Linked DNA regions of Macaca fascicularis. The protein of the gene in region 2 interacts with the protein of the main gene of each other region in a biochemical or structural test. Links are inferred from orthologs where the notes say so. Each region holds a gene or a part of one and is shown on either strand. Other genes may lie near its edges. The genes, in order: SUMO3 and PIAS2.

What was found.
Region 1: the proteins of PIAS2 (region 2) and SUMO3 form a complex in vitro, tested with the Homo sapiens proteins (2 studies listed by BioGRID, with this or other methods). The link is inferred for Macaca fascicularis from reciprocal best matches to the Homo sapiens genes PIAS2 and SUMO3.

Annotation. Positions count from the first base shown.
Region 1 is NC_088377.1:2,241,230-2,245,734, forward strand, and holds the start of SUMO3 (small ubiquitin-related modifier 3), read left to right. Parts: upstream 1-1,412; 5' UTR 1,413-1,495; coding exon 1,496-1,516; intron 1,517-4,505. UniProt on the Homo sapiens protein: Ubiquitin-like protein which can be covalently attached to target lysines either as a monomer or as a lysine-linked polymer. Does not seem to be involved in protein degradation and may function as an antagonist of ubiquitin in the degradation process.
Region 2 is NC_088392.1:42,938,175-42,941,982, forward strand, and holds part of PIAS2 (E3 SUMO-protein ligase PIAS2), read left to right. Parts: intron 1-3,335; coding exon 3,336-3,470; intron 3,471-3,808. UniProt on the Homo sapiens protein: Functions as an E3-type small ubiquitin-like modifier (SUMO) ligase, stabilizing the interaction between UBE2I and the substrate, and as a SUMO-tethering factor.

The DNA.
Region 1 (4,505 bases), on a different chromosome or scaffold from region 2:
GGCACTTCCCCGCCAGCAATCTGAGGGCTCTGAGGCCCCGCGTTCCGGGGAAGGGGCTGGTTGCGGAGCCCCCTCCCAGGACAGTCTGAGCTGGCCACCCACCTCCACATCTTCTGCTGAGGCCCTGGGCTCCAGGTTCCGGAAGGAAGGGACCACACCATATGACCTGCCTGGAAGCCAGGCTGACTCTCTGACCCTCTCCCTGAGAGACTTCAGCAGCCTTCCCGCTCCTAAGTGGGGGCTCTAGCCAAGAAAGTGAATTTTTGAGTCGAAGACGATTTGTGAAGTTATGGTCCATGAAGACTTGTCTCCATGGCTTTGCGACGTTGCTCAGTTGGCTGGGCCTTACCCAGGCAGGAGAGAAACGGCTCAGACCCTTAGGTTCAAATCCAAGCCCTGCCATTTCCCAGCTGAGCCTGTTAGGTGCGGCCTCCCCCACCTTCTGCCGGGCTCAACTTCAGGTGAGACCCCCGCCACGCCCCGGCTGGCACCACCCTGGCACTCCTGACGGATGCAGGGGTGTCCGCCCTCATGTCTGTTCCATCCGAGGCCCTGGGATCACAGACAGGGAGGCCGAGGCTGGCCGGGCATCCCAGGAATGGCGCCCGCAAGTCCCAGGAGGCCGTCCGGCCGGCCCAGCGCTCCGGCGCGTTTCCCGCGTCCACGCGGTCCCCGTTCCGCCGGCACTGGCTGCGTCCAGCCTGGGTTTGCCCGCGCTCGGCGACGGGGCTGCCTGGCCCAGCTCGACGCCCCTCACCAGCGCTGACCTGGGGGTGGTGTCACCTCCCAGTGCCTCAGTTTCTTCACAGGAAAAACGGGTCTTCTTGAGGACGGGTGTGGAGGGCCCGGGGCAGCCCCGTAGGAGCGTTGGCCGAAGGAGCCCGGCCTGCGGCTGACAGGAACCCTCGGCTGCAGGGAAGCGCGTGGCGCCCCCAACCGTCTAGGTGCTGGCCGGATTCGCGCGGCCTCCGCTGACGGGACCCCGCGGGCCGCCTCCTCCGCTCTGTCCGCGGCTCCCGAGAGGGAACATCACCCCCAGAGGCTTCCCTCCTCCGCCCCAGGTCCCCGCGCCCCCGGCCTCACTTCCTGGCGCCCCAGGAACGCGGCCCCCAAGAAAGGACTCGGGGCCCGGGCCCGGGCGGGGAGGCGGGCAGGGGTCCCCAGGGCCCGGAGTCCCCGTACGCGCTCCTGGCCCGCCCACCACAGCGCCCCAGGGCGTCCGCACCCGCCAGGGTCGCGCGGGACCCGCCCCGTGACGCATCTCCAACAGCCCGGAGCCGCGGCCCGGCCAGCGCGCGCCCGACGCCCCGGGGAGCGCGCCTCGTGCACGCGCGCCGCCACGTGACCCCGTGCCGGCCAACGGGTGCGCCGGGATTTGGGGGATAAAGCGCGGCCCCGCGCACAGTTGCGGCGGGAGAGCGGCGGGGCCGAGAGCGTGACTCGCCTGCTCCGCGCTGCTTCCCCCGCGCCGCCTGCCCGCGCCGCCCGCGCAGCCATGTCCGAGGAGAAGCCCAAGGTAAGCGCGGCGCCCCCGCCCGCACACGCGGCCATCGCGGGCGTCCCGGGCGCCTCCGCCGCCGCGCGCCACTGTCGCGGCCATAGAAGACCGCAGCTTCCACGGGGACCCGCGCCCAGGCCTGCAGCGCCGCCCGCGCTCCCGCCCCTCCCCCGCTCCCGTCCGGCCGCGCCGCTCCCCTCCCCCGCCCGGCGGCGCTCGGCGGCGCGCCCCGCCTCCAGCCCGGCTCCGCCCCCAGTCCGACTCCACCCCCCAGTCTGACTCCGCCCCATCCCGACTCCGCCCCCAGCCCGACTCCGCCCCGTGCCCCTGCTCCGCCTCTCCTTGCCCCCTATAGCGCCCCGCCCCCCCGCCCCCTGTAGCGCCCTGCCCCTAAGTGGGTCCGCCCAAGACGGGCCCCTCCCCGAAGCGCGCTGTGCCGCGAGCTCCGTCCCCGCCGGGCCTGGCCACGCCCCAGCTCCACGCCCATCTCCTCCCTAGCTGGGAAGGCGCGCGCCTAGCGCCTCCCAGACCGCCGGGTGTCGGGCCCTGCGCTGCTCCTGCCGAGCGCAGCGCCCTCGGATCCCGCCCCGGCAGTGTCCCCGAGGCGTCTTTGCGTGATCCTCTCCTGAGTCATTGCTGGGCGGGGTCGCCTTCTCCCCCGGCATCGCCCTGGGTGCGGGGTCCTGTGTCAAGTGCACGGAGTCGGCTCAGGAATAAGCGTCTGGGGTTACCCCCGAGGGGCGCGCTCTGAGGGGCCTAGCCCCTGTGAGCAGCGCTGCCGTCCTTCCAGGGCGCCCATCGCGCCCCCGGTATTCACCCACTTCTCCACACCGCGTCCTGGCCGTCGCGTCCCCCAGTGTGCGCCCACCCCTCTCCTTCCTGTCTCCCCGGTCGTGACCCCAGTGTGCACCCACTGCCTCTCCATCGCGTCCCCCGGTGTGCGCCTACCCCTCCCCATCGCATATCCCGGTGTGCGCCTACCCCTCCCCATCGCGTCCCCGGGTATGCGCCTACCCCTCCCCATCGCGTACCCCGGTGTGCGCCCACCCCCCCCATCACGCCGCCCATGGTGTGTGCCCACTCATCCCCATCATGCCCCAAGGTGTGCGCCCTCGCCTCCCCATCAGTCTCCCGGTGTGCATCCACCCCTTCCCATCATGCCCCCCGGTGTGCGCCCACTCCTCCCCATCGCGTCCTTGGTGTGCGCCCACCCCTCCGTATTGCGTCGCCCTCCCCATCACACCCCCCGTGTGTGCCCACCCCTCCCCGTCGCGTCCCCCGGTGTGCGCCCACCCCTCTCCATCACACCTCCTATGGTGTGTGCCCACCTCTCCCCATCACGCCCCTTATGGTGTGTGCCCACCTCTCCCCATTGCGCCTCCCCTGCCATGCGCACCCACCCCTCCTTATCCAGCCTTGGGTGTGCTTTAGTTTCCCCCATTGCCACACTGGGGTGTGCATCCTTCCAGTCTCAGTCCTGGGGTATGCACCCTTCATTCAGGTGCACTGGCCACTCCTCCTTGGGAGGGTCCTTAGTCGCGGTCTCCAGTGTTCATAAAAAGAGAACCTTTCGGAAGCCCTTGGTGTGCACTCTTGGCCTCTATGTTACATCCTAGTGGAAGATGACTAGAGCTGAAGGCTCTGTAAGGATGCTGTCTCTGATACTGGCCTGGTCCTGGAGGTGACCACCCTCCCTTTACAGATGAGGGTGGAGGCTCAGTGCCAGACACTGGTGGAAACTGGGATGGAACCGTCCGGAACCATGGTTGCGGCCTCTGGAAGTCTGCACTCTGCTTGCTGTGGTCAGACTCCAAGGAAACCTCCCCTATCCAGATGGCATTTGGAGTGACCTTCGCTTTTTACATTTTGACTCCAGTGAAGTCAAAGTTCTCCCACTCAGGGGTTGTTTGAATATTTAAATACTTGTTAAAACTAGGCCAAATATAAATGTCCTTTCTTTATGTTTTCGTAGGTGGCTTCCTCTTAATGAAGAGTACATGTAATAAAATATGTATGATACTCATTTTCTCAGCAGTGTTTACACTTAGCTCTGCCATGTGGTCAACCTCAGGCTCCAATTCCGTTGAAAACACTTGTTGAATTCCAGAATGATTGAGTGGCTGCCACCTCACAGGCCCTGCTCCTGGTGGGTCCCCTCTGAGCCCATGTGGGAGCAGCTCTACCCTGTGGGGCTCTGAGGAAGGGGAAGAAGTGGACTCTGGGGCCCAGTGGTGCTGGAAAGAAGAGCTTTTGGGTCAGGCAGGAGAATGTTCTGACTTCCCTGGATAGCTGAGGCGGAGGATTGACTAGCAAACTGAGGCCCATGTTTTTAGGGCTTCATTTTTTAACTCACGAGTTCACTTGCTTATTAGGAATTTACCAGGGGTCTGGGACAGACCGACATTGCTGGTGTCTGTCTGTCTGGAGCAGAGGCACTGTGGCCGGCCCTGCCCTGCCCCAGCCTCTCCTGGGGCTGCAGCCATTACCCTGTGGGGACACGTGTGGGCCCTGCATCTGTGCCTTTGAACACACTCATATCTTCCTTCCCTAAAGAAGCCAGTGCATCCTCATGCTTGGGGAAGTGAAGGGGGCTCATGCAGGGGTCCTCACTTCCATCCCGCCTGGAACTGTTTGCATGCTCTTCCTTCCTAGGCCAGTTTTCCCTGCGCTGGAGGCCACATTTGGGATGGGGGGATGGGGGTGTGCCAGCTCACCACTCAGGCTGCTGCCAAGCCACCGGCGTCCCGGGAGTGGGCAAGGGTGTCTGACCCAAGACTGGAGTTGGGGAGTGAGTGCTGGCCCAGGACACGCACCTTCAGGTTCGCAGCTGGAGCCCCTCACTGCCAGGGCCCCTTGCCGGCCACTCTAGTTCCCTTGACAGAGCACCATACCTCCCCAGGGTCTCCAGGAACCAAGCATGGGGGCAGTCCCCGGGTTCACCCTCAGGCGAGCCTTCTACATCCCACTCCCTGTATTTAGGCATCGCTGGGACAGTTGTCCCTCTCCC
Region 2 (3,808 bases):
CTCATACTTTGAGGAAGCAAAATACCTAATCTAAAATGCGAAGTCGTTCTTCAGGTCGAAAGTCCTGGTTTCTCCAGTAGAACAACAGCATTGGGGAAAAAGTGTGTGTTTGGAGACGGCAGGGGTTGTGTTTATAGAATAAAGGAGACTTCAGAGACATAACTAAGTGTGGTGTGGGGCTCTAGTTTTTAATTCTGATTCAAGCCGTAAAAGGACTATACTAAACTACATATGGAGAAAATAGAAAATATATCTGAGATTTGCTTTAAAATAATCTGGAGTGGGGGTTGGGTAGAGTAGGTAAAGATTGTTCATGGGTAAGTAAATTACTGAACTGATAGATATATATGTGTTATACTTTTTTCTCTATTTTTGTATATGTTTAAAATTTTCAATAATAAAAGGATGAAAGGAAAATAAATTTTGAGGCACCTGGGAAATCTGAATCGAAAGACAAGGTATTAGGTGATTTTTTAAAACTGGTTATTTTTGTGGGGTTGTAATACTGTAGGTTTTTAAAGTCTTATTAGAGATCCATGTTGAATATCTGGGTTAAATGGCATGTCTAGAATTTGAGTTTAAATACTCAAGGGCAAAAAGAAATGTGTATTTTTGTGGCGTGTGTGTTTTAGGGCAGATTGGCTTTGGGGCCAAAAGCATTTGGAACAAGATTGGCAATGTGGATAATTATTGAACCTGGTTGGTGGGTCCCTGCTGTTTGTACCTTTCTTGTGTATGTTTGAAAATTTCCATAAAGTTAAAAAGTAAATCTGTGTTAGAAGTATTCAAGTAGTAGTGATAATTAGAAAATTTGGAGGAAAACGTTAAAGTAGAATAATTGTGGACAACTTTTGTCACAGTTGCAAGTAGGGTAGGGTGTCATCAGAGCATGAAACATAAAAAATTATTTGAGTGTGTCACAGGACCACCACAAAGTCTTCCGCTGGTGCCGTCCAGCAGCCTTTGCTTAGAAAGCTTGCAGATTTGCCCCACTGGTTCCCTGTCACATGAACTTGACTTTATTTTTGCTTTAAATATGGAAAACTGTTAGAAATATGTGTGAAGGCTAAACTTTATATTTTATAAAATTCCAACTATTAATATATTCTCAATAACCAGGAAATTGATGGTTGGGTAGGGGTGGTGCTGATGGTTAGAGGTAGAATACAGGTTATCAGATAACTCAGAATTACCAGTAAAGTCACACTACTCAAATGGGATATAGAATAGATTGAAAACGCTTTACACTGAGTGAGACTAACATGATTCTGAGTTTGCTGACACTTCATTCTTACATGAGTGTCACTCTCTCTGCTTCTGTTGCCCTTTTCTACTGTGTCAGGCTGTGTTATGTCTTAAATTCTAATTTCCAGAGTGCACATTTTAGTTCATGAGTTATTTTTATCCTCCTGACAGACCCTGTATCATTTTTATTTGGTTAACCTACTGGTGGACATACCAGCAGACAGAATTATCTTCCAGGCCCAAAACAGGCAAAACAAAAGTTTCGTTCAGAATTACCTAGATACTGGTGTTGATATTCCTTGTACTTGTTGCTCATTGAATCAACTTCTTGAGTCTTTTTAAGAGGACTTTTCTTAGGAGTTTTTTTTTTTTTTCTTTTTCTGAGCAACTTTTTTTTTTTTTTCGCTTGAGCAACTTAAGATGGGCATAACCTTCATACACACACACACTCTCTCGCACACACACACACTCACACACACTGTCTCTCTCTCTTTCATTTCTGTATTCTAGTGCAAGTTATTTAAGTTCTTCTCTTTGTCTTTTACTCCCCTGCTCAAACGTTTTTAATTACTTTCAAAATTTTTTGCAAGTTATAGATTACACATTATCATGTGGACTACCATTTAGTAATTACTGTCCTGCCCCTTATGAGACAGTTCCCAAGTTGTGGTAGACAGGGTGTGGTCCTCTTTGCCATGTGATACTACCAGTACTAGTTTTCATTGGTCCTAAGGTGCATATTTTAGCATTGCTGAAATCCAGAAGTGTCTTAAAATTGCTGGTGACCAGGTGTCAGCTGTGATGTATTATCATTGTCTGCACTTGTACAACTTTGGTGTTATTGCCATGGCGTGACTAGTTAGCTGTACTCCTGGCTTTTCAGTTAACAAATAATTTAAGGACATTTTGAGAAAGAAGCATGAATGCTGGCTGTTGTCTGAAAACTTTTCACTGATGGATTCTCATAAGATCCAGATTGTATCCCCATTAACACATCCAGTTAATGGTGTCAGTGACTTGCAGAGAAATCTGAGACATTAGTGGAATGAAATACAGTTTTAAAAGATACTTTTTTCTCTGAAATTCCTGCTTGTGCATAGGGGAGTGTTATGTGGAAAAATGTATGGATTAATGATGGAGTGAAAAGTGATTCAGAAGATTCTTATGTCCAAAAGGGAATATGTTAATTCATTTTGCTTCCATTTCTTTGCCATATATACATAGTATTTTCTTTCTCAATAGTACATAATTAAATTACATCAATGACATCCTAGCGTCAGTGAAATATGGTATCTACTTTTCAATATGTAGATTTTTTGCAGCTAAGATATTTTAATTTTCTAAAAAATACATTATTTTGGCTCTGAAAAATCAGAGTGAAGTCTTGTGGTAATTGGGAATTGGATACACTGCGAATCAGAAATGAGTATACTTGCTATTTAAAACAAATGGTTGATGACTAGATAAAAGTAGATTAAAGCATAAATAGCAGTATTATCTGATAGCCATCAAGCTCATTTAATGACAGTTGAAATGCTCATTATCCTTATTTGTTAACTTGACCTGGGTTAAAAGATTACCATTTCTGTTCCACCCAGAGAAAATGCAGTGGAAAATATTTTTATCACTCACCAAATTTTAAAAATGAAATTCGTTAGTTTGTTCTTTCTTTCCCCTCAATTCCCAGTTTGCTTTCTTTCTTTCCCACCCCGAATATATGCATGTATTTGAAATGGGGATTGCTAAGGATGAATCATTATAAAAAGTTGTGACTTTATCTGTAAAGCTTGGTGTCCTATGAAAAAGGAAAACGATTCATAGCCAATGTGGCAAGATGTCAGCATCTTTAATTTTAATGATGGGACATGGATTTTTTTCCTACCTTTCTGGACTTGTGAAATATTTTGTAACTTTTTTTCAAAGGTTGTTTTCCTGTTTTGGGTTGATAATGATAATAAGGACTATATGATTTTTAGGCTAAAATAAAAATAGTGTAACTGAAATTGGGCAGGATCCTGTATCTATCTTGGAGAAAATGTTTAATCTTCCTGCAGATAATTTGAAATAATTTTTCTTTCTTATGGTTATAGGGCTACGCACCACCGCCTAAAAATGGGATTGAACAGAAGCGCCCTGGACGCCCCTTGAATATTACATCTTTAGTTAGGTTATCTTCAGCTGTGCCAAACCAAATATCCATTTCTTGGGCATCAGAAATTGGGAAGGTAAAAGCTCTCCATTTTGGGTAGCAGGACAGTGACCCCACTGGGGGTTGACTTACTGTGTTTTTTCTTAAGCTGTTGGCTTCAGCTCTTTTTGTTTGTGGATTGTAATCTCTAAAAAGCAGTAATTTTCAGTTCAGAGGCGGCAGTATGGAGATTCTTAAAGTTAAAAACTTTAGCTCTGAGTTTTCTTGAATATCGTCTCTTTATTTTCCTGGAAAGAAAATATGCATATTTATATTTCTTAAGGTAATGGTTTAACCGCAATTGTATGTAATGTTGTGTTGAGTATTTTAATAAACTAGAAGCTTTGGATGATAAATATTTGTGAAGAGAACAAG